Drosophila melanogaster: one gene and its partners. The protein of the gene in region 3 interacts with the protein of the main gene of each other region in a biochemical or structural test. Each region holds a gene or a part of one and is shown on either strand. Other genes may lie near its edges. The genes, in order: sau, drk and shi.

Evidence for each region.
Region 1: the proteins of shi (region 3) and sau form a complex in vitro, tested with the Drosophila melanogaster proteins (one study listed by BioGRID).
Region 2: the proteins of shi (region 3) and drk form a complex in vitro, tested with the Drosophila melanogaster proteins (one study listed by BioGRID).

Annotation. Positions count from the first base shown.
Region 1 is NT_033779.5:2,222,258-2,234,800, forward strand, and holds sau (sauron), read left to right. Parts: upstream 1-4,084; 5' UTR 4,085-4,811; coding exon 4,812-5,024; exon of another isoform or gene 5,025-5,048; intron 5,049-5,106; exon of another isoform or gene 5,107-5,347; intron 5,348-7,008; coding exon 7,009-7,136; intron 7,137-7,199; coding exon 7,200-7,318; intron 7,319-7,380; coding exon 7,381-7,556; intron 7,557-7,620; coding exon 7,621-7,869; 3' UTR 7,870-8,842; downstream 8,843-12,543. Other genes in the region: papi, read left to right, coding at 1,072-1,376, 1,448-2,269, 2,322-2,428, 2,487-2,983; CG15387 (uncharacterized protein), read right to left, coding at 3,541-3,744, 3,802-3,948; Sec24CD (secretory 24CD), read right to left, coding at 9,791-9,931, 10,000-10,790, 10,853-11,720, 11,978-12,093, 12,152-12,543. UniProt on the Drosophila melanogaster protein: Phosphatidylinositol-4-phosphate-binding protein that links Golgi membranes to the cytoskeleton and may participate in the tensile force required for vesicle budding from the Golgi.
Region 2 is NT_033778.4:13,495,856-13,506,144, reverse strand, and holds the start of drk (downstream of receptor kinase), read left to right. Parts: upstream 1-3,303; 5' UTR 3,304-3,454; exon of another isoform or gene 3,455-4,220; 5' UTR 4,221-4,254; coding exon 4,255-4,332; exon of another isoform or gene 4,333-4,671; intron 4,672-5,136; exon of another isoform or gene 5,137-5,524; intron 5,525-8,255; coding exon 8,256-8,353; intron 8,354-8,412; coding exon 8,413-8,532; intron 8,533-8,611; coding exon 8,612-8,777; intron 8,778-8,993; coding exon 8,994-9,167; 3' UTR 9,168-10,289. Other genes in the region: mars, read right to left, coding at 287-1,545, 1,603-3,109.
Region 3 is NC_004354.4:15,890,673-15,900,551, forward strand, and holds the start of shi (shibire), read left to right. Parts: upstream 1-1,527; 5' UTR 1,528-1,579; exon of another isoform or gene 1,580-1,909; intron 1,910-2,155; 5' UTR 2,156-2,332; coding exon 2,333-2,478; intron 2,479-4,020; coding exon 4,021-4,094; intron 4,095-4,162; coding exon 4,163-4,919; intron 4,920-4,989; coding exon 4,990-5,106; intron 5,107-5,173; coding exon 5,174-5,402; intron 5,403-5,474; coding exon 5,475-5,632; intron 5,633-5,693; coding exon 5,694-5,800; intron 5,801-6,034; coding exon 6,035-6,091; intron 6,092-6,429; coding exon 6,430-6,623; intron 6,624-8,282; coding exon 8,283-8,402; intron 8,403-8,771; coding exon of another isoform or gene 8,772-8,783; intron 8,784-9,582; coding exon of another isoform or gene 9,583-9,588; intron 9,589-9,879. Other genes in the region: CG15916 (uncharacterized protein), read left to right, coding at 1-815. UniProt on the Drosophila melanogaster protein: Microtubule-associated force-producing protein which is involved in the production of microtubule bundles and which is able to bind and hydrolyze GTP. Implicated in endocytic protein sorting.

The DNA of each region.
Region 1 (12,543 bases), on a different chromosome or scaffold from region 3:
ATCGAACTTTAAACAAACATAGACAAAAATTCACGATCAAGGTCAGTGGATATGTACTCTATTATGTGTTTTGTGGCTTGTTTACATATGGCCAAAAATAATTGGTACTCGTTTTATCAGTTCGAGATAAAGGCGGTTTGACTCGGAGGAAGTGCATTCATGCTTGGAGCCCAAAGGTTAAACCGGTATGATAACGCCGATGAGCGCATAAACCCGTTTAACTTGTCCAAGAACCAGTGCAAAGCTCGGAAATATCGCGATTTATTGAGACTCAACAAGTGGAATAGTAGATACACATATGCATGCATATATTATATGCGATGGAAATCGGAAGAGTTTTTCCATCTTTAATTTAAATAGATTTTTTTTTCTATTTAAAGCAAATCTTGAATTTTGCTTCAAAACAACATATCAGAGTATTTGTTCGTTTTGTCTTGGAATTGCTCGATTCTTCAATCGGCACAAAAATTCGCAGTTTAATGGCGAAATCCGCCAGGCAATGCATTAATCGCTGTAAGTGGCTGAATTATGTGGGCTAGTGTACCCCAATAACGTCACTTGTCTATTTATTCCGTGCAATGTCTACCTAAGCAATTTCAATTATGAAGTCACTCGCGAATTGTGTGCCAAAATTCGTTTGTTTGCGGCTAGAATTGCTTGTCTTGGGCTATTTGTCAAAACTGATATCCAGTGAGTGATAGGATTGCATAAGAAAAGGGGGAGTGTACATCGATACTGCGTACCCGTAGGCCTTTATTGATTCCATAAGACGACATTAATGCTCGTACCAGTCGACTTGGGACATCAGATGGTCTTGAACTTGTTCTATTTTTGTGTTCCCAAGCACACGCAACGATATTAACATATTAAAGAGGCCTTGAAAAGAGGTCTTAATGCTTTTTATTTATTTTTAAGTTGTTTCAGTGGGATTTAGTTGCTCGTACTGTTGATATGTAATGTTGTGACCAGAAATATTTTATTTCAGTTTTCGAAAACCTCGAAAGGCAGACTTGAAAAGGCTGCCCCAAACACCCAGCTCTACGCAAATCCACCCACAACAAGTTAATCAACATGTTGCGCAACACGCCTTTCGGTGCCACGCCCACCTACAAACTACTTCTGGGCTTCGGACTATGCTCCCTTGGGGGCGCCATGCTATATGCCTATTTCAAGACTCGAAACGACGAGGAGGAAGCGGACTCAGGTGGCCAACGGCCGGCATCCGGGATTAGAGGACAGACAGAGGAACAGAAGCCCCAGAAGGAAGTGTGCCTCAAAATCGTCGTGGACAACGAGCATGTGCCCCTGATAATGGGTCGCGGTGGATCCAATATCAAGTTGATTGAAGAAAAGACCCTGGCCAAGATAAGATTACGGTAATTGGATTTGAAAATTATCGACCCAGGAATTAAACCTGACTAACAAAAATCAAATTCTTCTCCTCCAGAGACAAAGACAGTGGCCACAAATTCTGCGACATTAGCGGCGTTCCCGATGCGGTTAAGGCGGCTCGAGCTCTGCTTATCAAGGAAATTGAACGTGCGCCCGTGGTGAAAGTGGAACTGCAGGTGCCCCAGAGGCTGGCCAGCAAAATTAACGGACGCGGCGGCGAGCTCCTCCAGGAGATCCGGAGCAGTTCGCTAGCCAAGCTGAATATCGATTTAAATGGGCGGAATGGAAAGGCCAAGATTACGATTATCGGCAATCAAAAGCAAGTGAACATAGCCCGAAAAATGCTGGATGATCAGATAGAGGAGGATGAGGAACTCGTGCGGTCCATGGAGGAGGTGGAACAGCGTCGGGAGCCCCGCAGATCTCCCACCAACAGCATTGCGTCCAGCATGTACTCCTCCCAGACATCCCTAAGCTCTCACACTCAGCCCAGAGACAAGCTAATGGCCTCCAAGGGCGAGGGTAAGCCAATGGAGGTTTATGTCTCCGCGGTGGCCTCGCCCACTAAATTCTGGGTTCAGCTTATCGGACCGCAGTCCAAGAAGCTCGATAGCATGGTCCAGGAGATGACCAGCTATTATAGTAGTGCTGAAAACAGGGCCAAGCACGTGCTGACTGCTCCATATGTGGGTCAGATTGTGGCAGCCGTGTTTAAGTTCGACGAGAAGTGGTATCGCGCAGAAATCGTGGACATTATGCCTAACCAGTACAATCCAAAGGAGCAGGTGATCGATCTCTACTTCGTGGACTATGGAGATAGCGAATATATTTCGCCAGCTGATATCTGCGAGCTGCGCACTGATTTCCTCACGCTCAGGTAAGCAGTTCGACTGATTGGATAGACATAAATTTATATTTCACTATTTTAGGTTCCAAGCCGTTGAATGCTTCTTGGCCAATGTAAAATCTACCATCCAGACGGAGCCTATTACGTGGCCAAAGTCTTCAATCGCAAAGTTCGAAGAGCTGACAGAGGGTATGATTTCAGCAACAGTTGCTAGATATATTTTTGACTAAACACCGAACATTTGTAGTGGCACATTGGAGAAAGCTGATTGCTCGAGTGGTGACCTACAAGGAGCGTCCACGGGCAACCACCGCTGTAAGTGCTGCTGCCAAGGAGGGAACCCCGCTGCCCGGAGTGGAACTATTCGATCCAGCCGACAACTCTGAACTAAATATTGCCGATCTGATGATCACCCAGGGCTTTGCTCTGCCCCTGGACGATTCGTATCCAGTGCGGTCACGCTCCTCGACGCCCTCAAGTAACAGCGACTCCACCATTGAGGAGTTGTGCGTCAGCAATCCAGTGACTCCGCTTACGCCCCACTCACCTATGTCGATGTCCATTGATGTTGACAGCATTACGCAGGCGGAGAACGAGCACCTCGCCCAGCAGCTGCAGCATTTGCAGCATAAACTGAACGGAAACGACATAAAAAACATTAATCCGGCTAAACTGACGGCTACAGACCTCGAAAACGGGAATAACAATAATGCCAGCACCACAAATGGTGCTAGCGCGCATTAGGATTTCACATTGTTACTAATTATCCTCGCCTAATTGTTTATAAGATGAAGGCTGGACGAGCAGCTCACTACTTGACGTGTACATAAAAGTATAGCTCTTAAGGAACTTATTGTATAGGTACGAAAGAAAACTGTTTAATTTATCGCCGTGACTGATCGACATATCCTAGATCCTAAAAGCTGACGATGGAACGGCACAGATCCTTAATTGTTTATAGCAACCTTTGCCATGTTACTTATTGTTAGCAAGAACAAGAAAAACATTTGTACATCAACAAAAAATACACAAAAAAGATCACAAACTTATCAAAAGAAATGCATTTTATAAGAATATCAAGCTTAAGTCTATTTTGGTGGCCTGTTTCAGAAATCTGTATTAGAGAAGTATTTCAATATTCTTTGAAAATAAGATTTTCTAGATGACGTTAAGGCATAATTGAAAATGAATATAGTTTCTTCAAATGAAAAGGGCTACAAATATTAAAAGTCGCTTAAAGTATATTAAAAAACCCACCGGGGGGCAGAATTGCAGTCTTGTTTGGGGGATTTACCCCACGCTTAGATTAGGATGTCGTTGGTGGTGTTTATAGCTATGGGGGGCAGGTATATGGCGCGGATCTGACTGCGCAGGCGTACGATTTCCATGTCGTCCCTTTCCATTTCTCTGATGAGCTGGGAGAACTGGACTAATCCCTCGCGGTTTCCAGGAAACCCATGACCCTTAATGACCTCCAGTTGGAGTTGCATCACCAATGGAAAAACCTGCAATGTATTATGTTAAACTATTTGGTTATTTGTTTTGATTTGCTTGGTATTTACGTGCTGCATCATGAGAATCATCTCTTTTCCAGCGGAAGCCTTTGCCTCTGAGAGTTTCTTCGAGTTTTCCGGCTGATTTACACAGCGTATTATGTCCATAAGAATTTGCTTGGCAGTATCACTGTTGAAATTGGTCAAGTAGGACATTATAAACGTTTTAACGGCAGTGTTTGTGACGAATTTAGGCAAAATGCAACAAATTGTAGTAGGTTTTATTTTGTGTTTCCGTTAGAGATGAGTCATACAGCGATTACAACTATCGGACAAACTATCGGTTCGGATTCATAACATTACCAAACCCTTAGTATGGACAAGGAACTGTAATATCATTCAAACAAAAACTTTACGATTAAATAAATTAAGCTGAATTACAAAAAATTAAGAGTAAAAGTTAAATTAATTTCGTTTTAACAGCACCTCTAGAAGCAAAACGTTATCCAACACTTAAGGTCTGGAAAATTGCCAGTACTGAAAAGTGCGGAAATCATGTCACGTCGGAACGTCGACAAAAGACACAAATAATAGGAAAAAGCTTATTTCGCGCAGGCACTCGCATATTCCCAGTAAATGCAAGGCCAATGCAAATGCACCATTAGTACGGGCCACCAAATTGTAAATCAAACCGTCGAGTTCCCAGCGCAAAAACGCCGAGCAAAGCAGCAACAACGAAACGCAGTTTAGGGCCTGCATTTTTGCGATAGTGTGAAAAGTGCGTGTGTGCAAAAGAATACAAAATAAAGGGGGCGCAAAAGAGTCAGTGAAAACAACAACACACAAAAACACAAGACACAAGTACACAGAGAAAAACGCAAACACCCGCACTCGCGCAAACAGACACACACACACACTGTGAAACTCCCAACGTCGAGTCAGCAAATTGTGCCACACACACAAAACGAGGAAAGAGGAAGAAGAGCAGCAGCAGAAAAACATAGGTGCTCCGCTCGCATCCCACATCTCCAAAACTCCATCGATCCGAACTTCCCGACTACCCAACCCAACTCTCCGGAATGAATCGCTCCGACGGATTGGTGCGTCGCTCGGTGAAACCCCGCGAAAACGGTGGGGCGGAGGGTGGGTTGAATGCCAACACGCCGGACGACAACCAGGATGCACTGGACAACCTAAAGGACCAGGAGGACAATATCGACGATGGCGACTCCAAGGAAACACGACTAACGCTCATGGAGGAGGTTCTGCTGCTGGGACTCAAGGACAAGGAGGTGGGTGTGCTCCTTATCTCTTATCTGCTTGGGATGCACTAATTAATTGGTTTCTTTCGCAACATAAGTGCTTCTTCTTCACCTGTTAACCGACGTCTCTCTCTCTCTGTCGCTCTCACGATTTCTCTCTTTCGCAACCTCTTGCTTGGCCCCAAGTGCAACGCAGTCCATCTTCCAGCAGGGGCGTAGTGAAAATTGGATACAGGGGGGTAACTTATCACTTCAGTTATGGGGGCAACAATGTTTATCTGTCCTACAGATAAACATTTTATGCCATGTCTTAGCCACTTCTCTTAGCTTTTCCAGTTTGTTAAGCAATGCACTATGAAATCTTTTGACCAGCCTGCTGACTAATGCGCAATCAGTGAGACTGCCAACACCATTTTCTTAACCACTTTTGTTTTTGCATTAATTAATAGTGTGCTCCATCTGTTAAGGTCTAATCAGCCGTTCATTCTAATCTATAGAACCCATTACTTGCCCTTTGTAATACTTTGATGTACTTCCCAAATAAGTGATGATATATTTATATATAGTATATAATAGGTTTATTTTATGTGTTACACTATCGCGCAATTGCTTCCAGTGCCAAATCAAAAAGATTCTTAGAATTGTTGCCAACGTTCTTAGTTGTTGGAAAGATAGCGCTCTAATACTTCTTCGGTTGGCAGTTGTGGCTATAAATACATACATATCTCTTCGAGAACTTCACTCCGCGCAGCACGGAGAACGGTTTCGTCAAACGAGTTTTCCAATAAGTGGTTAATTTGCATAGGTTTGTAATATTCATAAATCTACGTATAGCGCGGGATGATGTCCGTAAATGCGAACCATCATCCATACGTGACCCATTATGGCGAACAGGCAGATTCGCATTTCTCCATTGAATTCGGTTTTTATATTTCACTTGGCACACAGCTTTATCGCTCAATTGCTGTTCGCTTGTACCACATAGGAATGCACACATGTGCCTTTGTGGCTGGCACCACGTCTATTTGTTTTCATCATTTTGCCCGCAGTGTATTTGTGTGACCACCCACACCTCCATCCCTGCCACCTCCTCTCCCTTCGCATAAGAGGGATACGAGCTGGAAACAGTGGGACGTGTTGCCCGCTTTTGTTTTACATTCCCCTTCCGAGCGCTCTTATCGCGAAGATTTTGTCCATTTGGTTAATTGTTTGAGGAAGTACATACTATCAAGTGCTGCTCTCCTCTGCCTAGCTCTCATCCGTTTCGGGCTTTTCTTATGTCAGTACGTCACTCATTTTCGAAATTATACAAAGTACTTGGCTTCTACCCACACCATCCATTAGGAAAATTTCAATATCTCGAACTGCCGAACTGATAAGCGACGTGTTCTTTGCAAATGATTCACTTTTATACCTTTCGTTCGGAACGATTCCTTATCAATCATCTGAGCGATTGTTATATAAATTATTTTAAAATCGTGAAATGGCATTGAAACGTGGTTGAGGTATCTATCTATACCTTCCAATTATCATAGCTTTTCAAGCGTTAATAACAAGAGTAATTTTTGTAATTGATTTTTTATGTGGTTATAACATAACTCTTCTTGTTCGTTTTTTCATTTATACTAGCTAGATAAGCATTGTATTTTTTAAATTGACAGTTCATACACTTCTGTGGGCAAGGCCTAAACAAACTCAAGTGTTTAATGTTTTAACAACTGAATACTTTCGTCTGGGAGCTTTACGACCCCGGCAACAGGGTAATTATTCATTTCTTTTACGCCCAACACAAGTGAAAAGGCCAAACCATAGACTTGCTCAAATATATTTCAAAACCTTGAAACATGAGACAGTAACCATTTGTTAATGAAGTTTGTACTTACATTTATGTTAGATAGAATTTAATAAAATTTTAAAAAATAAACAAGTAACGCATTCACACATTCTTATTTTTAGATGCCCATCCAGGCCAATCAAATAGCTTGAATCTAATAGCATTTTTAATTACTTTCAGGGCTACACATCTTTCTGGAACGACTGCATATCAAGCGGCTTGCGCGGATGCATTCTCATAGAGCTTGGACTGCGAGGTCGCGTGATGATCGAGAAATCTGGAATGCGGCGACGTGGTCTATGTACAAGGTATGTATAGAAATCTAGTTTCCACATCCTTTCAGAAGCATGCTAACTTCAATTCGCCAACAGGAAATTAATACTGAAATCGGATCAGCAGACGGGAGACGTTCTACTCGATGAGGCACTTAAACACATTAAGGAAACAGATCCCCCGGAGACGGTGCAGAGCTGGATTGAATATCTTAGTGGTGTGTATTTAGGCGCCTGCCATTTCGCCAAGTATGTTTTGTATAACCTATTGTTGTGGCAGGTGAAACCTGGAATCCGTTGAAATTGCGCTACCAACTGAAAAATGTACGCGAACGTCTGGCCAAAAATCTGGTGGAGAAGGGTGTGCTCACGACGGAAAAGCAAAATTTTCTACTCTTCGATATGACGACACATCCGCTGAGCGACAATGTTGTCAAATGTCGCCTGGTGAAGAAGGTGCGTAACTAGACTTGGATATATTCAAGAATTCTAAAACTGAATCCGAAATGTATGACTTCAGATCCAAGATTCTGTGCTCTCCAAGTGGGTCAACGATCCACAGCGCATGGACAAGCGGATGCTGGCGCTTATCTTCCTGGCGCACGCCAGCGATGTGATCGAGAACGCCTTCGCGCCGCTGAATGATGACGACTATGAGGTGGCCATGAAGCGGGTGCGGGAGCTGCTGGATCTCGACTTCGAAGCCGAGTCGGCCAAGCCGAATGCGAACGAAATTCTGTGGGCGGTGTTCATGGCGTTCACGAAATAGACGATCCTCTGATCCTCTACGCTCCTCTCAATAGCACACACACACACACAACACACACCCCAACACAGAAATACAGACCCACATCTGGAATACATTTTGCTGCTTTTGTTTTAGAAACTTTGCTGTGAGTGGAACCGAATCGGGCGATAGGATTTTCTTAAATGGCAACCACCCCAAATATCTGTTTCAGTAATATATATTTTTTAAGCGAGACTATAAAGCAGCCATAATTCCTATTTAAATATACATATGTTTATCAACACTTCAATAATACCAATCAAACGCTCCATTGTCCTTTAATTTTTTCCTGTTCTGTTGAGCATAATAATACATGCCAATGTTTTGCAATCATAATCAGTAAGTTGTGTTCCACGACACATAGAGTTTAGTTGATGATTTCTCTGGCAATGCAAATCAAAATGTATGATGGAAAATTTAAAGCTGCAGCATTGTTTTTGTAATTATATATCTAGCACTAATTGTAAGCGCCAACAAGAAAACTTTGATAAAGTCTGGGCAAGCTGCGTGCGATTGTCTATTGTCAAATATCCTATATATATTTTATCAAAACTTTTCAATTCTATTTTTGATTGTCAAGTATTTTCGAGCCCTTTCCATGTATTCGATTGCGCGTAGAAAATCAGTTCAAAACGTTTCTCGAGCTCCGCAATTTTACCTTAGTACGTTCGACCTTAAGTATGCACCCACCCACATGAACAGACAGACATGCAGACAATTTGACACGGAGCGACATTCAATCTAGGCAATGTTTTAATTTAAATTGTTATTGAATTTCGGGAACATTGAAGTTGAAAAACCTTTTCTAACTGCTAAAAGAAAAATAAAGAACGACAAGAAGTGGACAGCAAGAAAAGAAAAATTATGTAAATGTAAACTGTGCACGTCAAATAATACTAATTCTTAGATATTTAAAGGCCTAATAAAATACAAATATAAAATATATAACTGACGCAAAATTGAAAGTTTATTGCAATTTCGGTTGTACCCCTCCATAAATCAGAGGAAAAATATAAAACATTTAATGAAAAATGGGTGATGAGTTTTAATAAAAGGGGGAAAGCAAAAGTGGACAATCGTCGGAGGAGAAATAGGATTCTTTCCGGTGTGACGACCAATCCGATTTAACTTATCTACTTGAAAGCATAGCCCAATTTTTGATTCGCTTTTTAATACAGTTTTTATTCCGTTTTTCATTCTCAATAAATGTGTTTTTGTTTTGCAGTGTTTGCATTTCTTTCGATAGTTGAAGGGGCAATATACCATATAAGTCGAGTAATTCTCACACGAAACATTTAGGTTATAATATAATAATCTTTCAATGACATAAAGTATGATAAAAAGCAGGGCGCAGCGCACAAATTATTGCAAAAATACATTAGGCCAAAAAGGATGTGAACAAAGAAGTGCTCTTATACTATCCGTTAAATCAACTAGCAGTTTTCAACTGTGGAAAATTTGCAAGTAATTTGTAATTACAATTAAACATATTCATGGAATTTTATAAGAGAATAATTTTTTTCTAATTTTGCAGATAAGCAGTTGCCTCGTTTAACAAATGTTTCGTTTCTAGCGCAGCCGATCAAAAAAAATACATACAAATATATATATATAAAGTAAAACAAAGCAAAATATGAAAACTTTAATAAAATTAATGGAAGAATTGATACGCTCGAAATGATAGCCATTAATTAATATATATGTATATGTATTTTGATGTAAATATAATTGAAGTTCCAACAGCTTTCAGCGCCAGTTTCTGCTTCTGATCCTAAACCCTTTGCATTTCTTATTTTCCGAGGCGACTGCGCATGGACGACAGACGACGCATCCGAGCCCTGTTTTGGGAATAACTGTCCGCCCATCGCTGCTCGGGCTTGTATGTGCCGGAGTAGCCGGCGTGCTAACTCAGCAGATCCTTAATCTCCTTGTGCATGTGACACAGGAAATCCACGTAGCTGGCGGAACCGTCTGTACCGCGGTCCTCCACGAGGAAGTGTCGGAACACGCTCTCCAGTTTGTCGTTCTGCCGCAACCAAGTTATCTGAAGAAAAGATTAAGATCGTTACACATTTCCACGAAGGCAAAGATTTGATCACTGCAAATACGCACCCTCATGTATCGCGAGCGCTCCTTCATGATCTGCTCTAGGATGCCGTGTATGCGCTTGGCCAGCGGCGTTTCTGGAACAATGTTAAACCGCTCCAAAGCTATTTGCTGAAGACCCTGAACGCCGAACACGGACTGCACAAAATCAGGCGACAATGCCTGGCCCAGCCAGACGAAGAGGTGGACTCCATTCTCCAGGATGTAGGCGCCATCCTCTTGCGTCTTTTCGTGCGTGCAGCGAACGGGAGTCGGCAGATCTGTCTCCTCGGGTACAACGTTGTGGATGGGAATGAAACGGGGATACAGGTAGCTGACGGATTGGTTTAAGTCCATCGACAGAATAAACTGGATAACATAAGATCGATCGTCTAGCGTCATGTCCGAACCGCCGGAAATAGCATCGTTCTTGAGCAAACACGAGGCATACAGTGGCAGCAGCTTCAGGCACTCGGGAAGAATCAACTGGCCGGCGGAGGTCGGCGAGGTGCAGTGCTTGCGATAGCAGGCCAGGATTTGCGCCGATCGATGGATTAGGTTGTCTTTCACCTGCTTGGGTGAATGCTCCATCAACTTGAAGCAGGCCTGCTTGGCGAAGAACAGCATCATCGCGTCCAGGTCGCAGCACTTAAAGACATCCGCAATCGTTGTTGTAACGCGCAGAGCAAGGTTAAGAATTCGCAGACGCCTTTGGCCGCTGCACGAGGTGTACAAGAGTGCGACTTGAAGGTACACGTTCTCTTCTGGTGCCAGCTTGTCGTCATGCTTGATCTCAATGCTTATCGACTTGGTGGCATCTGGAAATCGAAAGGAATATTATTAACATATATAAAACCAAAATGTAGCCGTGATTGCATACCAATACTGGCCAGCTCCACATCAGTTGTATTGGACATGAAGAAGTGACCATAAAACTCCGTGGGTCGAATGCCAGCCGATGTCCGCACCCTCATCACCGCGTCGAAGGCGATCGGTCGCGATACGTTCTTAATGATATCCTGTATTAGTCTCTTGCCATCCACGTCCGCCTGGAAGTAGGTGTACTTGAACACCTCTCCACCAGTCAGCCGAGAAACCTGCCCAATCGTGGCCAAGTCGATGTAGGCGTTGTTAAACACGAATAAGTCCACGGAGCAACCCTGCTGGACGCACTCCTGGCCCAGTGTGTTATATGCAGTGGTTTGTGGAGTGAGTACGGTTTTCTCCTTATCAGTTCCCAGAAGCTTCCGATCATCGCGATTCTTTAGCTTGCCAGGCGCCTCCGCGATGGGTAGCGTTGAGTTAAACACCAGCAGTTTTCCAGCTGCATTCGATGCCTTCAGTGCCTCCAAACCCGCTTGAATGGCAGGGTACAGAATCGTTTCGGTTTCCTTGGTGTCGGCAAACATACGAGGGATCTCTTCCATCAGAGCATCGATTACAGCAGCCGACTCTTCTGGGTGGCACAGGAATCCATCCAGCAGGGGCATGAACATCTCCTGGACATCGCCCACAACCATCATTTGCGGCTGGGCCAGACTGCTCTTGATATTGTAGAAATGCACGGTGCTGTTGTACGTGATGAAGCCCACCCGCACCTTGGATTTGTCTTGACCCTGGTCGACAGGCAAATGCTTGAGTATGTTCTTGATCTGGGAGCAGAGCAGATGAACCAGTCCCGACTTCACGGTGTTGTAGGAGACGTCGATGATGAAGATAAAGGCGGGAACCTCCGGGGGAGTATTGTTCTGCGGCAAAGGGAAATAATTAAAAATCAGTTTAGTGTGTATCTACTCTAAAAATGATTATCATTAAAAACAACCGAGACAAATTTTCATTCTGTGGAAATACATGATCTATTAACAAACATGCCATATGTTCAACATATTTATTGGAATATGTTCAGAAAAGCTGTTCCATTTTCAAAAATAGCTATTTTTAAAAGCACCACATTTTGGTGTCTAGAAATATTATTAGTAGTATTTCCAATATATGTATAACTTACCCGACAGTAATCCTTGGTGGCCAGAAACTCGTAAGTTCCCAGCAGTAACTCAGGTCTTTCATGCTTGTCCACACGCTGTCCAGTGTGATCCAGGTGCTGATAGTAGTTCTGATGAACTGCAAAATAGTTCAACATTTAATTAAGGCATCATTAATTGCGCCCAAGATCGCTTACCTTCCGAAGTTACTTTGCACATCAGGCACTGGAATCGGCGGCCGGCATCCACGAACTGCATGTTGGGCGACATGTACGCCTTACACCTGTTGCAACGAATTGGTCCCATTTCGCCGAAGTTCACAATCGGTGGCTCCATTTCCCCCTCGCCAACTTTGGCCAGCGGCGAGATGTTCAATGTCAGGGGTAGAGCTGTGGTCTTCAAAAGATCACCCGTGTTGGGGATGCAATAGAGCGAGGAGCGCAGGAAGCGGGGTGAAGAGTTGCCTTGGTCGTGAACCACGAATTTGGTGGTCACCAATGGAGGCAGCAATCCTGGCTGGTTGGTCACAAACGGTCCTCCAGACAATCGCTGGTTCTCAATCATCACCTGGATGGGATTGGGCATTTGA
Region 2 (10,289 bases), on a different chromosome or scaffold from region 3:
TTAAATTTCGATCCCCTTTCAATAAGAAAAGCATTTCAAATTTATTTATTCTTCTCTTTTTTATTCCTTTAACTATGTCTAAATTATAATCAAGGTAAGATAGATAATTAAAAATAAAATAAGCTTTCATTTTCACAGAACATACTCGTCGAACATTTAAAACGCCAAATGTAATTTTCAACATCTTAATAAATTAACACTTAATGGCATCCGCAAAAAAATATTAAACTAAGAAGATAAAAGTATAAACAATTCCACAACGGACAATTACTGTCAATAGACAAAACTACATAAACTCGGAGGAGGGACGCAGATTCACCCGCCGATTGCGCAGCGTGTACGTGCGAGGAGTTGCTTCATTCTCCTGATTGGAATCCCTTCCCGGATTCTGTTCCAGGGATCCGCTTTCCGTGGAGGCTTCCAGCGACATGTCCTCCTCGCAGTCCTCCAACTTGTCGGCGCCCACTGTCTCGTCGTTGCTAATGTTTCCCTCCTCGTAGGTGAACTGGAATCGTCGTACGCTCTTCTTGGCGCTGAAGAGCACGCCACGGTTCTGGCGTTTCGTGGTGCCGGGCGTCTTGAGGATGGAGGTGCGCGGCTTAGGCGGCGGCGTCTTGGCAGCGTTCTGCTCGGCGGCCGCAAGAATCGCTGATTTCAGGAGCGCATTTGGCGCAATCGACTGACGGCCCTCGCCGGTGGACATGCGGAGTACTGTGCGGGCGGGCGAAAAGGATCGGCGGTTGCGAACTACGATTACTCGCGGCGAACTGTGGCGCGAGGACGTGGCGGGCAGGCCATCCTCCAGCGTTGGCTCCTCCACCTTGGTCTTCTTCATGTTGGCATGGGCTTTGCGGAGGAACTGCTGCAGATTGCTGCTCGGCTTGGCCTTCGATTTGATCTTCATGTTGCGACTTATCTTGGGCTTGGGCTTCGGCTGTTTGGGTTCCTCGGCCACGGCATCCGGATCCAGCCAGTCGTTGGCCTTCCAACGTTTCAGGTTATCGAAACGCTTGTCCACGTTCTCGCTCTGCAGGCGCAGCATGTCCCACCAGCCCTCCAGATCCTCAGCCTGCACCGGTTTCGAATCCTCACTGCCATCGTTTGGCTGACTGTTCTTGCCGGTCGCTCCAGCCTCGCAACGATCGATCAGGCCGCTGAACTGCATCATCTTTTTTGTGGTCAGCAGACGTGTTTGACCGATGGTCACGTTGATCATGTCAATGCCGCCCGTTTCCTGCAGCCGTGCCTCATTCTCCTTGCTGTACGCCTCCCATTCAGCGCAAAGCGCTTGGAGGCGCGTGATCTCGTTTTCCAGCTGCAGTCGGAAGTACAGAACCGATTCAATGGCACGGCGAACTTCCAAGGGCGATTCCTCATTGGACAGGTAGAAGCTATTGCGTTTCTCCTTCTCACAGCGCGAGTTCACCTTTCCCCGCGAGACACTAACAAACGGACTGAGATAGTTGGGCATTCCATTGGATTCGCGACGTGGCGGTGTCTTTGTACCCTCTGGCACCAAAGTGGAATCTCCAGTGTCTTCTTTAACTGAAAGGAAAATGTGAGTTTGAGTTTAAGATTGGAGAAGGCGTATCCCAAACTCACCCGTCGTCTGCTGAGGATCCAAGATGAGCGAGTCCTCCGCCGGCGAATTCGCCACTGAGTAACGCGTAAAGTCGAACTTTTTCTTTGCCACCGGACCTGACGCCTCTTTCTTACCTTCCGGCAGCAACTGCCTTTTCACCGAACTTTCTCCTTCAGCTTTGACCGGTGCCACCGGGCTCAACAAGATGGTGTCGCCAAACGCCTCCAAAAGATGACCGCTGCTATTGTTCGACTTGCACTGCGTTGATGTGGCCTGGTCGATAAAGGGATTATGGATATCGTCTAGCGGCGTGAGAGGCGGTATATCTAGCGTGGCTGCGTGCAGCAACTCGGCTTTGAGCTGAGGAAGCTTTCGCACGTTGTCCTGAAGCCTCGTGTACTGGCTCTTTATCTTGGTGGCCTTCATTCGTATGGAGTGACTTGCTGCCTTGCTGGTCGCTCCAGCTGTGTCCTTGAACTTGGCCGCGGCACCACCTCCGCCACGTATAGGCTGTGGTTTCACGACATTCGCCCGTCGTGTCACTGGTGCCTTGTTTCCTAAAGGTTTCTCGAACGGCTTGGACAACACATTGGGCAGTCTAGCTGTCCGTGGCGCTGGCGGCTCAGGTAATCTTGGCTTTGTGCTGACCACTGGTGGCTGTTGTCGTATGCCTGGCGTTTTCGCTTTCGTGACTGTCGCTGGGGTGGGTCTGGGTATGGTGGTAGTGATCTTTTTCGCTTCAATCCCAGGCTGCCTTACACTGGTAGTTTGCTTCGTTGTGTTGGGAATGGGTCGTGCAGCTGCTTTTTGCCTGGCCAAGGCCACTGGATTGTTGTTCTGACGAATTGCAGGCACTATTTTTGTTGCAGAAGCAGCTGATTTATGCCTGGCCAAGGCGGAAGATGCAGCCACGGTATTGGATGACGGAGGAGCTGCTGCTGACGTTGGCTTGGGTATTGAAGGTTTAATCGGTTCTGCGGCTTTTCCCTTGCCCGTCGGATTGGCAATCATGTAGAGAGAACACCGCTTGGGAGGCTGGAACATGGGAGCCGCCTCCTTCTGCTTTGCAGAAGCCAGATTATCGGGAACCCGAAATGTTTGTGATTTGGGCAAGGCCTTTGATTGTTTTACTGTCGGCACATTGATGGCTGCGCCTCGACGTTTCTGGTCTTGCTGCTTATGCTCCTTGGTCTTGGCTATCTTCCACTCCATGTAGCGTTGTAAGTAGAGCTTCTGGCGGGAGACCTTCGGGTTGGATTCCTTCAGCAGTTCTGCGGGCTTCGTGTCCAGCCGCTCCGGACTCTCCAGTTTGGGTGCCACATTTTCCTGGGTCAGAGCAGCTTGGGCCGCCGCCAATTGCTTTATTTTGACGGGCGTCGGGCTCACGCTGATGATGCGGTTCTGATAAAAACAATCCTCTCGTTTTTTGGCGCGCGCCGCCTGCAACCGATCCCTGTTCTCCTGGCAGTGATTGCGCGGACTCAGCACCAGCGATTGCTCCTTGTACAGTTCCTTGTGGCGCTGCATGGCGACTGCTGTGACGGATGGGCGAGTCAAACTGAAGTGTCCGGTTGGGAATGAAACGTAATGCTGACTTTTCCGGCGAAGCGTCTCCTGTTTTGATTTTTAAAATGGCGAAGCGTCTTGCGGTGTGACCAGGTGAAGGAAAACTACGAAAGCCCTGCGGTATGCCTCTCCCACAGTGTTGTGTTCAGTATATTTTCTTGGAATAATAAAGCGACCCGGCCACGGTCACGCTGCTATGAAAATAAAAGTGAATTACAAATTTAGCAGTAGTAATATGTTAGCCAAACCGCTCCCGCGCCTAATTAGTGTCGCTTAAGCTTGCAGCCACCCTAGCCCTTTGAAATTGTAAGCCCGGCGGCCTCTTTGCACGTGCCAGAGACTCGAAAATAGTTAGCCGCAACTTACGCATATAGAAATATAAGCGCCGCGTGTGTGTGTGTGTGTGTGTTTATTGGGGTTACAAAAAATAAAACAAACAACAACGTCACCGCGGCAGCATTGCCAACAGCAAGCACCCACGCCCTAGATTGCCAAATGTTAATTGTGTTCTAAGCGACACATTTCATATTATTTAAGGCAAATTACTTCGCATAACAACAAGTAATAGCCAAACATCGTCTAATTGCTTTTGCGGTACCTGCTTTTCCCCGAAATTCCAAATCGCAAGCTGCTGGCAACGCTGCCACGCTCACGCACACACACCCACACAGTGGCCGCCGTGGAGAGAGCGGCTCGTGTCTGTGTTCATTCTCTGTTGCTGCTCCGCCTGGGAATGTCGTCGTCGTCGGTGTATTTTTAATCGCTTTCTTCCCTTGCCTTCGCACAAGATATATTATTATTAACCGAACTGAGAAAAGCGCACTGCCGAATATCCATGATTTATCGTTTATATAATGTGCGCTAACTAATCGCGGATTCGTCTCGTTTCGTTTTCATTTCCACAGCACTGAGTAGTGAGTGAGAGAGAAATTCAAAGAGAGTTAGAGAGAAAGAGCAGAGAACGAGCGTGTGTGTCTGTGCCTCTGTGTGTGCGTGTGTGTGGTGCATCAAGGCTGATAGAACTAAATCCAAAACTACAATTGCAACTAAATTTTAAAACAAACTCCGAAAGCGTTTTCTAACTGCGCACAAAACAACACAGCAAAATGGAAGCGATTGCCAAACACGATTTCTCTGCGACGGCTGACGACGAGCTGAGTTTTCGCAAAACTCAGATTCTAAAGGTGAGTGCTGTTCCAAAATCATCAATTCCCACCTCAAATCATAATATCTGCATTTATTCATAGACTTCACACTGAATGGGGGCACGCAAGGGTGTAAGGGGGTGCACAGGGGGACGTGGCAGGTCCTGCATGCATAATCCGCTGCGATGCAGCTGCCGCCGTCCAGGTCGTTGCCTTAACCCACATCCTAGGTTCAATCCCCAGACAGATTTTGTTACTAAATCGCGACCAAACAGACAGCAGTCGCAAAAGCTGGCTAAAGAGTTTCAAAAGGTGCATTCGCAGAAGGCAACACGAAAGGATTACGACTCATTAGCCACCGCAGCCCGAATACTCTTACTAGAACGAAAAGATTCAGTCAAATATATTCCACTATCAGTACAAAATCCTTGTGAAGCATCACATACTGAAATATTGTACATTCTACTCTACATTTTTTCATTTCTCAACTGCACTTCAAATCTATCAAGACCATATTTTTGACCCCATTTAATCTGCATATAGTTGTGATTAGCATTACAAAGTAAGTTTAAAAAATGATGTGAGGAGGGGGTTTCTAAAGCTATAAACATGCATATATGATTTAATCTATATACTATACTTTGCAAATCTAGCATTTTTCACTGTGTTTCCTTGAATGAACTTATTTATTGTTAGCATTCCTATAGTATATATACTATTTCAACTTTCCTTATTCGTTTTCTTCCGAATGCTTAGAAAAACAATTCCAACAGTTTGTAGTGATGATATATTCGATGCCCCCTTTGACTTTGCGGAACTTTGTGGGGGACATCCGATGCTTACCCGTGTTGCTTGTATTCGCTGGCTTTTCTGGCCAAGAAAAAGGCTGCTGGCAGGCTGCGATTCGATCTTTTTCGCCGCCTTGCTTCCTTCCAGGTGTTTGTGTTTGTGTTGGCTCACTGGCTCGATGGCTGGCTGGCTGGCTGTCCTAGGCCAAACCCTTTGTTTTGGCTGGCGAATTTTCCGGTTTCTTGTTGCCAGGGCGCGATGTAAGCTGATTTTCGTTGCTGTGTGTCTACCTTGTCGTAGGTTAGTCACAGCAGGAACCCAGGCCCGTGGCAGGTTTTCTCCCTTTTTGTGCCTCTTTTTTTTGCGCCTCTTTTCCATATGCCGCCGCTGCATTTGCAGCATTTGTTGCTGCTGCTGCCGCTGCTGCTGATTGATGGTGTCAATGACTCGCCGAAGAGGCTTCTTTATCGCCGCCCGAAGGTCAAGTGTGTGCGCTGCTCCCGTCCATTAGAGGGGCTTCTACGCCGTAGATGAGCCCTCTGTCCAGCTGCACGGTCTTATCAATGGGTAAACAATCCGCACTGATAGTCATAGTTCGTTTAATAGCCCATAGTTCTGGGCTCCATTGATGCGGGGGATAAATAGAAATACACGATTATCTCGCATTGGAGATATGTATGTTACGCATATCTGTTCGAACTCCCAGCGCATTTGTTTGTTTGCCAGCGATTAGTCACTTCTCGATAGCCTTATCTGAAAAGATGCCCCAATCCAGCAAACATACAGCAGGCATAGAAGGCGATAGAGAGAGGAGCGCTGTGAATCATCAAACATTTCATTGGGGTTCGTTCTCTTTCCAGAAAACTGGTTTACAGGTCAGCGTATTTCTTGGATATTTGGAGCTCCATTTTCCAAAAAAAAAAATGCCTCCAATTCTAACGGCCTTGTTGTGTGGGCACCAAAAGTGGCCACGTTTTATCATAACAATGTGAAACACACGAAATGGGATTCTGTGCTCAACTTTCGCTTGTCGCGAAAACAGCGAAAAGTGAACGTTCGTGTTGCTTTGACACTTTTTTCAGCGTCGGATTTCCGAAACGACAATAGAATTTTTTCTCTAGTAATTACATAAGCATACGAGTATAAACAATTGATAATAACAATCATGGCCACTACGTGCCTGCCTTCCGAAAGCGCCGCTAAATATTTATGCATTATCCAACAGGCACATTGCACATTGCCTGCACTGAAAAAAAAATGGTGCACTTCCTTATGCAGTTGGGAAAATAAATATGCGATCATGGAATACTTGGAAAGTTTATGTTCTTGAAGCATTTCAGCATATTTAAGTTTATATTATTTCTAAACCCTCTGGTTTTTCCCAGTGCTGAGCGGCGAGAAAACTTTCTGTAATAGACGACGAATCCGTGGAAATGAATTTCTCGGCGGCTGTTTTCAATGAATGAAACAATCTAAAAATAAAATAAATATACGATGAACAATGTCTGGGTGACAGATGCGGGCGGGATGGTCGGTGATCGCGGGGTGGATTAGAACTATGGAGCTATGCCAATTAGTCGGCCAGATCCAGCTGAGCGGGCAAAATCCCACTGCCACAGCCAACAGTGAGCACAATAATTGGGTTTTACATAAGCTGGAAACGACATTGACACCCCATCCACCTCCAGCTCCACATCACCCAAATCCCCTCCACATTCCGACGTGCGAAAATGTAACCAAAAAACTCGAAACATCATTATACGAATCGAATATGATATATCTCATATTTATATATATATATTTGTATCTTTAATTAACAAGAAATCGATCTGTGGGTTAAGGTATTATGTTTGTTATTAACCTCGTATGTTAGTAGCGTGTATAATTAACGATGAGACATTCATGGGGTAATTACAAGTTGCAACTTCAGAAAAGTAACCAACCCTCAACTACACAGTATCAACAGGGGTTTTTTTTGTGGGTGACTCATTTGAATGCCATTCCATTATTCCGACTTGACGAACAAGCTATATTGGAAAACAACAAAGCTACCAAATAAACACTGAACTGCTCAAGGGAAAAATGGCAGAAATCCATAAAGATAGGAATATGCTTTACTTAAGACTTAACTAAAAGTCGAAATCCTGACCTTTGCACAATAAACACATTTCCTGGGTATTTGTGCAACCGATTTCCTTGAGAAAAGCAAACAGATTCCGAAAACTGAAGGCTGCTGGGCGCCGTCATAAGCGACGAGATTCATTCATAAAAGCTCAACTCAGCACCTTCGAATCTGGGAATTCCCAGTGGCCAAGCAAATGGCGAGACCTTTGCAGATAGACAATCTTCAATTTCGGCTGTCAATCGTAAGATATCATAAAAGTAGTCGATGATTACGTAGGCAGCAGCCTGTTGTTGTGTCATTGGCATGCGAAATGGGCTAGGAAAAAGTTCATTAGATAGACAAAAGTGAAATTCGTCCATTCGAGTGAGTGCTCCGTTTCACTTAACATTCTTATCACATGTCGCGGCCATAATGCTTGCCTATTTTTAGCGTTTCGCAAGAAAAAAAAGATATGAGAATAGTGGAGATAATAGATAAATATGTACGTTTCATACCAAACCATAAGCCTATCTTCGCTGATTGCGCACTGACACAGTTTTTTGGGACAACGCTCAATCAACAAACAATTGAAAACTGTTCATCGAATCCACTGGGGAATCGGGCCAGTCGCCAATAAACAAAGCGGAAGAATGTCTCGATTGATCGCCATTGTCTGGGGGGGTTGGGATTAAAGGGGAGTGGCCCTCAAAATGGAAACAACGGAGGCAGGTTCTTACAACAAATTTTCGGGGATCGGATTACTCACTGTGCAGCTGGTACTTTGGTTTCGTGAGAAATGGGAATTAAAATCAGATGCTCCGGTTTTAATAACTTCATGGAAAAACCAAAGAACATATTTAACATTTAACTCAGCCTCATGAAGCTGAATATATGATTGTTTTATTAGGCAGGGGTAGAAGATTTAGGTAATTTTATGCCCATTAAGATCCTTTTTTCCACAAATCAAGCTTTCTTTATTAGTTATTTAATCAAAAATATGGTTCATTACATTTACAAACCCATTGATTTGTATTGCTTAAATTAACTTACATCCCTTCTTTTTACACAGATATTAAATATGGAAGACGATTCAAATTGGTATCGCGCGGAGCTGGATGGAAAGGAAGGCCTCATACCTAGTAATTACATAGAAATGAAGAATCACGAGTAAGTCGAGCCTGAAATTTCCAATATCGAGACCCAAATAATGATCATTTCTATTGTAGCTGGTATTACGGACGCATCACACGCGCCGATGCTGAGAAGCTGCTGTCAAATAAGCACGAAGGCGCCTTCTTGATACGCATCAGCGAATCCAGTCCCGGCGATTTCTCCTTATCAGTCAAGTGAGTTGCGCTTGAATGGCTTCAGCTTTCATATTTATGATTGAAAACCGTATATAATCGAAATTCTTTGCCCCTTCAGATGCCCCGATGGCGTTCAGCATTTCAAGGTTCTGCGCGATGCCCAAAGCAAATTCTTCCTCTGGGTGGTCAAGTTCAACTCCCTCAACGAACTGGTCGAATATCATCGGACGGCGAGCGTGTCCCGGTCGCAGGATGTCAAATTGCGTGATATGATACCTGAAGAGGTGGGTGTGCCGTCCATTCCATTCCATTTTGATGTGATGAGTTTGCTCAGCAAACATGCAGATTCATTTTAAAAATACAAATTTCGCATAACACATTGAGGTCATGTTTGCGTACGATGCCGCCGCCACCGCCCACCCATTTGAACTATAAACAAACAGCGATGCCAAGAGTATTAGATTGGATTCATTATGTCCGAACGATTTTTTTTATTGCAGATGCTCGTGCAGGCGCTGTACGATTTTGTGCCACAGGAATCCGGGGAATTGGACTTCAGACGCGGCGATGTCATCACCGTCACAGATCGCTCCGATGAGAACTGGTGGAACGGCGAGATCGGCAATAGGAAAGGCATCTTCCCAGCAACTTATGTGACGCCATATCATTCATAATAAGATAACTTCTAAGGAGGGACGCCACACACAATCCTCTCCGGGAAACGCGAAAAACACAACACACACCCATAACGATTAGGCAGCATTATCAGCAATTGCGAATAACAACAAGAAGAAACTAAAAAACACAAATTTTAAATATTTATATACAAGAAACGTGGACATAAATTCTGTAGACAACGTATAGAACAACACAAGTTTAAGCCTTTAAGCCGAATGCATTTTTTACGTTTTGACGTTTTTTGATAAAACAATTACATTACGATAACATTACGAAATCGTTTAATAGCAACTGAGTGACACTTTAAACTAGATATGTAAATTTATTTGTGTATTTATAGCTGCGGCCGAAGAAAAAGGCATTTGATCGGAGTTTTCCTTTGCAATCCTTCCGCACAGAGGACGAAACTCACTTGCTACAATCTTGACCGCAACTATAGGCATATGCAAGTATGTCTACATACCAGACCAGGCACTATTATTATTATTGTAAACAAGCGGATTTTTGATATAAATATATAATTTAAGTTCGATAAAGAGAAGTTCTGTCCTGTGCTTTTGAACGTGTGTTGAGGATTTTGCCCTACATGTGCTCTTTAGTTTATGTTTTGATGTTTTCAAGGAGTGCGTTTCGCAGCGAGTGAACACTTATATTATTATGATTATATGATAACGAATTACCAACCAACCAACCTAATGCTTAACACGTTTTATAGAAAACAAAACAAATTCACTATGAAAAGAAAACTTTTGCCTAAATGTCTCAAAGCTGAAGACAATTAAAACAAAATTTATATTATATTATCGTAAATGCCTACCACATAAATTAAATTAATTTTTGCATCGCTGGTTACTATATGCATACATGCACGCATCTATAAATAAATATGTATCTTCTTAATGCAAATTGAACGATATTAGGCCTCGGCTGCACATGCAACTTTTGCGGCGACTGTAAATTGATTATGTGAAATTTTGTCCCTTCGCTTTAAAGTTGAAAATTGTCAGTAATTATAATTTGCACTCTGTCTTCTGACCACAAAAACTCCATGAACGAAAAATGAATCTTGCAAACGGGAAGAAAACATTTGTGACATGTGTAAAAAGTTTCAAACTGCT
Region 3 (9,879 bases):
TGTTAAGCATTCGTGTTTTAAGGCTACAAAATGGACACTCCGTTCTTAACAACGCCTGCCAATTGGCACTTTCGCGAAACAAGAGCTCCAAAAGGTCGAGCAAAGACAACGTAACGCGACAGGGAAAAATATTTGGCTCGTTGTTTGGAAATCGGCTTAAAGGCAGCAAAAGCCATTGGTATCCATCGCCCGATGCAGGAACATCAGGCAATCAAAAGTCGCTGCACGCCTTAAAGTTTGGAACCCCACACTCGAAGACAACTTGCAGCCACAACAATCGACGCATGTCTGTTCTGAACAAGTTGTTCATGACGAACATCACTGATATTCTGGCCACCGGCGCAGTTGCCGATTCCATCGTGGGACACGGAGTGCAGATTTCCTATGTCAAGATCACCAGCGACTTCTCCCGCATCAATGTCTATTGGATGGGCAAGGATGGCGGGGAGAACCAAGAGCTCGAGAACACATTGAATCGCATGAGCGGCAAACTGCAGCACGAGCTATCGCAGCTCCATCTGATGGGCGAAGTGCCAAAGATCAAGTTTGTCCGGGACAAAACGAGCACTGGTCTCCATCAGGTCCACGAGGTTCTGTCCAAAATCGATCTTCAGCACAGTTACTCTAGTTCAAATGCGGAAGTTGAAGAAAGCGACGCACAGAGTTGTCAGACGGCTGCGGATGAGGAATGGCCGGAGATGCGACAGGATTTCCTCAGTTTTAACCATAGCTTAGTTATGGACAAGATTCTCGGCAAGATGCGCAAGTCCAAAGATGCCTGGGTTAATCATAGACAAAATATTGCGAAAACCTAACGTTTGTTAAATCCCTCGACTTATGTACATAATGTTAATTATTAAAGTGTTATTCAATCCAATGTAAATTGGGTTCTAAAGTTGAAAATAGGGGTAGGGTCTGTAAACGTTTAATCATTTTCCAATAAGTTTGAAATGTTGGCTACTTTTATCCCAACTAGTTCATCATGTTGAGTGGTTTTAAAATAGAGTATCGATTGCGTTTCTAAAAAAAAGCTTTAACGGCTTAAAATTGAATGTCAAAGGTCAAATCATTACCATACTCGATTATGTTATTATGCTTTTAAAGCTTGCGCACTGCATCTGTATCTGTTATCGATATAAAGCAAAAACGCAGAAAAGCCGGACATGCGCATAAAATGAATAGTTTTATAAGCTTTTAGTATTGGTTATATATTCCCTTCAGGATATGCATATTGTAGATGTGCATTTAATTTAATAAATAGATAGATAATTACTTGTAAGTTAATGTAATCAAATCAGCTGTTTTTGATAGTTGCGATAGTAGGCGACCTTGCGCTTAAATTGATATCGATGTCGGATAAAGCACTGGACTTGTTATCGAAACCAACACTTAGCTTCGGCATACGGAAACTATTCGATATATCGATGTATCGCGAGTGATTCACCCAGCCCTATCAATTATACCAAAAAAAATCAGACCAGACCAGCTTATCGGGTACAGATTGATTACTTTCTTGCATCTCTAGTTTTAGTCGAAAAAATCCATTGAAACGATTTGGAAGCGGAGTGTGGTGATAGTTGTCAGTTTTGCACAATAAGAAGAATATTTGTTTAAAAGACCAAGCCAAAGCCCAAATCGCAGTGCGCTCTTTGTGGCGATAAACATGACATCTACACTAACACAACACAGTTACGCCTGAGAAATAAGTGACAAATTGGAAAAGTCGATGATAAATTCGTTTGGGAGTATATATACAAATTATTTTCGTGTAAATGTCGATAAACACTTTTGCTCGCAAAACCCAACAATCATACCCGTCTTTACCTTCTTCGCGATTCCAATTCCGATTCCAATAAGTTTCGCTACATCGCCATTATAATCCGAAGAAGCAAGAAAGGTTATTGTGGTGGTACATACAATATATCGGGTTGGTTAATCGTGTGGGAGAATGAGTAACTCATGAGTGCTCTCCAATAACGATTTCTGTTTGCAATTTTCCCCATTCCCCCACGATTTACGCATATTTGTTATTAACCACCACCCCCACCGCCGCACACAAATTTTGTCAATTTTTTTTTTGTGTTATCTATACAAACGAAAAGAAAAGTGATGGAACGCATGAAAGTATTTATAATGCAGCAATTGTATTTTGCAGAGGAGTGTGTGCAGTGAAGTAAAGCCAGCGATTAAAGGAAACAGCATAGAAAAAAAAAAGACCCGGGAGCTGAGCAGTAAAAACACAAACATCCGGACGAGTTGGGATCGCAGTTCGATCTGATCTGATCTGATATCTAATCTAATCTAATTGTGAGGGAAATCGGACCTCGCCGCAATGGATAGTTTAATTACAATTGTTAACAAGCTGCAAGATGCGTTCACATCGCTCGGCGTCCACATGCAACTGGATCTGCCGCAGATCGCGGTGGTCGGTGGCCAGTCAGCTGGCAAGAGTTCCGTTTTGGAGAACTTTGTGGGCAAGTGAGTATCCCCCGCACGCCTTATCAGCATATTATCCTCTCATATGGGATCATACTATCATACCATATCACCCTATCAGCACCCCAAATATCTAGCCTACATATATTGTGATTGATAATGGACCTGAAGAGACCCCTCTTTGGCATGCAGCGAATCGATTTTTCTGCACGCCAGTGCTCAGCGAAAAGTAGCGCTATTCTTTCTATTATGTCTGCGTTTCGTGGAATGCCCAATTAAATGTTACTGAAAAACTATGAGTAATCGCTGATAGCACTCGCTTTCAGGCATTATTATTATTTTTTTTTTTTTTGGTTGTTTATTAACAATCAATAATTGGTGTCTACGAAACAAGTGTACTTGCTCATAATGACCAAACCATATCAGTGGTCTTAACTTAATTATGATAATAAGAATTTTATCTTTCACCTGCACAAAGCTGTTGAAAATCCAAAAGCCCCGCAGCTCTGCAAACTATATTCACAAAACGAATTGTAGAACATCTACGTATACGTATTTTGAATTTTGTTAAACAGAAATCTAAATTGTATGTATCAATGCGATTTCTTGTGTGTTTGTATCTATAAGCCTGCGCTGTCTCTCATTTTTCTTTGTTAGTGTCCACTCTAAATACAAACATATAAAGAAAACAATGGCTTACGCCCCAAAAAAATGCAGATAAGGCCAAAATGATAGTGTGTCGGCGATTTAAGTTTTTCCCCACTCTTGCCCAACGATTGAGTAGAGTAACTCACATTCTATATGTTTACTTTCGAATATATTTGTAAAAGTTTGACCTCCTTTAGAGTCGATTTATTTATTTTTCATAGCTTGCAAATAAGGGGGGGGGGGGGTGCGCTGAAAAAGAACATTAATCAATATGCCCATTCATGTATTTACAAACTGCATTGAGCCATGTAAAGTTTGTGCTTACATAAGTCCACTATGTTCAAAATAGTCCAGTTAGATTTCGCATGCGCCGTGCTTTATATGTATGTATGAATGTATGTATGTGTGTCAATTAGGGTGGTTACCCCGCCCCCCGCCCACCTGACACCACTGAGCCATCGGAGGAAGCGAGAGAGGCAGCGAGACCCACGGCCACGGCAGGCCAAAGTCTTAATGTCAATGGAAAATGAAGGCTTCTTCTAACTCTGGTCAGTGCGAACAGGATGTAGGTGACCAGAGTGTTCAAAATGACCCATTTACCATTTGATTTATTAGCCTAGCTAACAAATAGCTTTACTTTAAGTACTCAGTGGTATTAAACAATGCCCAACACTTTTGGAGTCCTGAAGTTCTCACTTGGAAATTTAAACACTAGCTGCAAGTCATAAGTTAAATTTCCATTAAGTTTTTAGTATTGGCAACTCAAATACTCATTATTCGATGCAATTTCAAAATGTTTTGATACTAGGCTTAATGCTTTCTACATACTTCTTAAGCCCAGTAGTAATATTGTTAGATGAACAGGCTCCACAATCCAAAAACCAAAGACTTCTATGATTCCATTATTAAATACAAAACGTTTTCCCCATTTTACAGAGATTTCTTGCCGCGCGGCTCTGGTATCGTAACTCGGAGACCACTAATCTTGCAACTGATCAATGGAGTTACCGGTAAGTTGAGCATTTGATATGATTAAAGAGAAGCTATCTTCTAATGCTAACATTGATATTTATTGCAGAATATGGCGAGTTCCTTCACATTAAAGGCAAGAAGTTTTCCAGCTTCGATGAGATCAGAAAAGAAATCGAAGATGAAACGGATCGTGTGACCGGTAGTAACAAAGGCATTTCAAACATTCCAATTAATTTGCGCGTCTACTCGCCGCACGTACTCAATTTAACCCTGATCGATTTGCCAGGCCTGACAAAGGTGGCCATTGGCGATCAACCGGTGGATATTGAGCAGCAAATTAAGCAGATGATATTCCAATTTATTCGCAAAGAGACTTGTTTAATTTTGGCTGTGACCCCGGCCAATACGGATCTGGCCAATTCGGATGCCCTCAAGCTGGCCAAGGAGGTGGATCCACAGGGTGTGCGAACCATTGGCGTTATAACCAAGCTGGATCTGATGGACGAGGGCACCGATGCACGCGACATTCTGGAGAATAAGCTGCTTCCGCTGCGACGTGGCTATATTGGCGTGGTGAATAGATCCCAAAAGGATATCGAGGGGCGCAAGGATATCCACCAGGCATTGGCCGCCGAACGCAAGTTCTTCTTGAGCCATCCCTCCTATCGGCACATGGCCGACCGTCTCGGCACCCCCTACTTGCAGCGCGTGCTCAACCAACAACTAACCAATCACATCAGGGACACGTTACCTGGCCTGCGGGATAAGTTGCAGAAGCAGATGCTCACTTTGGAGAAGGAGGTGGAGGAGTTTAAGCACTTTCAGCCAGGCGATGCTAGCATCAAAACAAAAGCTATGCTCCAGTAAGTTCAAAAAAAAAAAGGATTTCCGTTTGTAGCTCTTGATTAAACTGGTGTATTTACATTCCTACAGAATGATTCAGCAGCTGCAATCAGACTTTGAGCGAACTATCGAGGGCAGCGGCTCAGCTTTGGTGAACACAAACGAGCTCTCAGGTGGCGCCAAGATCAATCGCATTTTCCATGAACGGTAGGTGTTTGTGGTGTCTTTTTGAAAAGCCCCCTAAAACTGATATGATAACATCTCGTTGCTTCAGTCTGCGCTTTGAGATCGTAAAGATGGCTTGCGATGAAAAGGAACTGCGACGAGAGATCTCATTTGCAATTCGAAATATCCATGGTATTCGCGTTGGCCTCTTCACACCCGACATGGCGTTCGAGGCGATTGTCAAGCGGCAGATAGCGCTGCTCAAGGAGCCGGTTATCAAGTGTGTCGATCTAGTCGTACAGGAACTTTCTGTGGTCGTGCGCATGTGCACAGCTAAAGTAAGTTGGCTTATTTGCTGGCACCAAGCTAAGCACTAAGTTTATATATTTTTTTTTTTTATCTTTGAACAGATGAGTCGATACCCACGTCTGCGTGAGGAGACCGAACGTATTATCACAACACATGTGCGCCAACGCGAGCATAGCTGCAAGGAACAGATCCTGCTGCTTATTGACTTTGAGCTGGCCTATATGAACACCAATCATGAGGACTTCATTGGCTTCGCCAAGTGCGTATTTGATCATTTGGAAAGGGGCGTAGGGAAAAACTAAATCTTGCACTCATTATAGCGCTCAAAACAAATCAGAGAATGCCAACAAAACTGGCACTCGTCAACTGGGCAACCAAGTCATTCGCAAGGGTCACATGGTCATCCAGAACCTTGGAATCATGAAAGGTATGCACGTTCCCCCCACCCCCAATGACATTCTCAATCAACTTGCTATTGATTGAAGGGCAGTAACCTTGTAAATGGTGACAGAATGCTTTGTTAGAAATTTAGTTTTCAACGTTTCCGAAATGAAAGAAGAAGTGCGTTAAGACTGGTCACCGCTTGGTGGCTTGGTGGTGGTCATTTTGAAACTTTTATAATTTGTATTTTTTATGTGAATATTGTCTTTGTCATTGAAAGATATAAAATTAGGACGATCTGGACCGCTAAACGTACGATTTTTCAGTCCTTCTACAGGTACTATCATGTTTTCTGTTGCTTTTGCTTTGCGTTCTTTGGATAATTAATTAGAACACGCCACTCTTTTGCATGTGTTATACTTTCAATCATTCTTGAATCACTCGAATCGAACACGATTGCTGCTGACCTTCCATAGGCGCGTCGAGCATCCTTCTTTATATGAAGGATACGTAGGTACAATATCCAGCTTAGCTAACAAAATTGATGATGATTACTTCTCGATGAGGCGAAGAAGTTGTTTACGAGCGTTGCATCTACTGACCCAAAAACTGTTTCGTTTTTTTAAACTGGAGATTTCATGGATACGTATTGATTTTCGCATGTGTGTCTTGCAGGTGGATCGCGTCCGTATTGGTTTGTGCTGACATCCGAGAGTATCTCCTGGTATAAGGACGAGGATGAGAAGGAGAAGAAATTTATGCTGCCGTTGGATGGTTTAAAATTGCGTGATATTGAACAGGGATTTATGTCAATGTCTAGACGTGTTACATTTGCTTTATTTAGTCCCGATGGACGTAATGTTTATAAGGTTAGTAATTTTTGTTAACATACAAAAAAATGAATTTTAAATGATTTCAGAAAACAAAACCAGAGAAAAACTTTTAAATCAAAATAACTAAACAAACAAACAAAAGCAATTTTTGAAGATATTTTTACGCAAAATATTTCAAATCTTCATTATATAACCCCAATTTGAATCCTTTGGTTGAAATAGTCCGGGAAAGAGATCAATTAATTATTTTTTTGTATAATATAAAAATTACTATGTTTTTATCAACATTTAAGTCGAATTGAAGGAAAAGGAGCTTGCCGCGTCGTAAACTCCTTTTGCCTTTTGATTTCGTGATGTGCGCTTTTAGCTTAAGAAGTTCACGGCTCTATTTGATTCACAATGAATCGCGCAAAAAGTAGTCATCCATTAGTCATTAACTAACCTCTCGATTGTATTAAAAGCTATTAATACATTCCCTCAAAATAATTTTCAAATCGATATTGCACTCTCCAAAAAGATAGTGATCGATAACGATTTTTAAAATGCAACCTCGTTCGCAGGCAGAATAAAGCTCATGATATAATCATGTGATTTATACTGGTTGTACAAGGTTAAGAGAAGGGACTTTTTCCGATTTTCCATTACAACTGCTTTATTCTCTCTGTACTTCTTTAAAAGCTTTGAACTTTTTAGCCCAAAAAAAAAAACGAGTTTTCCGATAGAATTAACAGCAATGGGCTTATAACTCTACCTATTTCCTTCCTTTTCGGAACTTTTAGGACGCTGTTTCCTTCCAAATCATTGTGTGCCAGTCAGTCGCCTGGTGGTTTCATCCAGCATCCCTCATTTATGCCAGAAACTTCCTTCCTGCCTCTGAATTGAACAGCTAGGCTATTTTACACTAAACTTAACAACTCAACAAACAGTTTTGCTTAGTGTAATGTCTAACCACTTAAAACATCACTTAATACACAAATTAAACGTTTATCTTTAAGCTACCAATGGTTTTTATATTCATATGTCACTCACTACAAGCAATACCTAAACCGTCTGAATATTTAAAAAAAATATGTTTTTTGAGATTATGTAACGCGTTTTCAGCAAGGCATCGCTCTTCACGGACTGCGAAATCCTGGATTCAAAAGAACTGATGGTCTGATTCAATTAAAAACTGAGAGCATCTAGGCATGTTTTAAGGCTAGTTCGCTCAATTTCCTTAGTTAGTTTTTATGAAACATAAAGCAATATATAAACCACTTTGTTGCCATTGCCAATAAAGGCGAAACAGCACTATATTAACAATTCTTGCTTTTTTAAGGGCTACACTGCTCTACAACGACTTTCGAAAAGTGTGAAATCTTCAATGGGTATATCTACAAAAAAATAACGTGATATTGCCATTTGATTTTATTACATTTCAACTAATCGATAAAGCCTTTTCTCTTCTGTAAGTCCGTCCGCATTGAAAACAGGATTCTCGTCCGCCTCTTCAAGGATCTTCAAAGAGTTAGTCTTTTATAATTCAGGACCAGCAGAGTGGGTGAAAGCGTATCGTTCGTTTTATGACAAAAGTGAATCCCGTACCCAACTGATAATGATTTTCAATTGAATGTAGTGTACCATTAGGCTAAGCAAAAATAGCGCTTTTGTATCAAAAATGTTTCATTCTCTGCCTTCGAACACCCGGTATTCTAGGACTACAAACAACTGGAGCTCTCGTGCGAGACTGTGGAGGATGTGGAGTCCTGGAAAGCATCCTTCCTGCGAGCTGGTGTCTATCCCGAAAAGCAGGAGACTCAGGAAAACGGCGATGAGGTGCGTACATAGATAGTTTACTAGTAATCCCTAGATCTAAGGCCAAACTCGATACTAATTGGATTTAGAAAAGAAGCGCTACACGAAGTAGTGGCTTTATAGGAATATTATATATTATTATTATTATATATATAATATATATTATTATTATATTATATGGCGTTTTATAGCTTTCCAAAAAAGCTGAAATTTTTAAGGTTGTATTTTAAGATGGCATAGTTGTCGTTTAGATATTTCCACTTAAATTGAAAGCATTTCCGATTACTACATTATCTATATATTTATATATCTTTGTTTCCGCTGTTTCATTGACCAAATCAACAAAATAACTCGCAATATCGATGCTTTAAATGTGCATTCGTCATCCAGGAAGGACAAGAGGTTTGTTAATCTTTGCATCTTTTCGGAATATATACATATATATTGTTTAGTAAACTCATCAATTAAATTTCGTATAAATGTATGCGATTTTGAATACTAATAACTAATACATTATTTTTAACATACTTTTGATCATTTATCTTTCGTTTAATTTCGGTTGTTTCATTTTTAAAGTCTGGTGAGGTATTTTAGCCGTTATTAGATACAAATTGTTTTTATTATTAAAAAATAGAAATTCCAAATTTTAAACTACTAACATATTGTTAATCGGCTGAGGATTTGCTAAAATTAAATAATAACTGCGGCTTTAAATGTCATCACATTACAAAAAATCATACATATGAGCTAGTACACCTCGAAGTCTCAAGATGGTGTAACCCCTTAAATGGTTAAAGGTGCGATAAATTACCATATCACAAGCCGAGTATTACAAATTGGATATATATATATATAAATTCGTTTACGATTGTGTTAAAATTGAAGAGTTTTGATCAAAGTTTTCCACTTAAATTGAATTCATTCCACTCGGCTTGTGATACATTTCTTTTCATCAGCTAAAGTTGTAGTTTGTCGGTCTTCCATCTTGTTTATTTAACTAACTTAGAATTACTGATTAAGATAGTCGGCTGCTCGACTATGGCATTGTTACTGGTTTCTTATAACGATTGTGAACATGTTGTTCTCTTCTATTTTTCCGCCACCTACCAAACAAAAAAAAAAAAAAAAAAACGACCAATCTATCTATGAAACGCCAAAATACACACAAAAATTAATAATTTCTTCCGGTTGGTTTACTTAGCAAAAAGTATGTTGATTTCAATTGTTTATATTGGTTTGATTTTTTTCCTTATTAAATTGTTGCATTTTCTCACGATATAATTATTCATTTATACCCGCTACTGAAATTACTCGTAATTATTTCTAAGATATATCCATGTCCTCCGTATATCTGAATAATCGTTGAGATAAAAACTAAGTTAGTAGTTGGGCTTGATTTGTTTTCATTTGTTTGAAACGGGTTAACAATAGCGGGTATCACATAGTCGGATATTCGGCTCTATTGTTCCTCCTTGATTTTAATCAATTTCAAGATGAC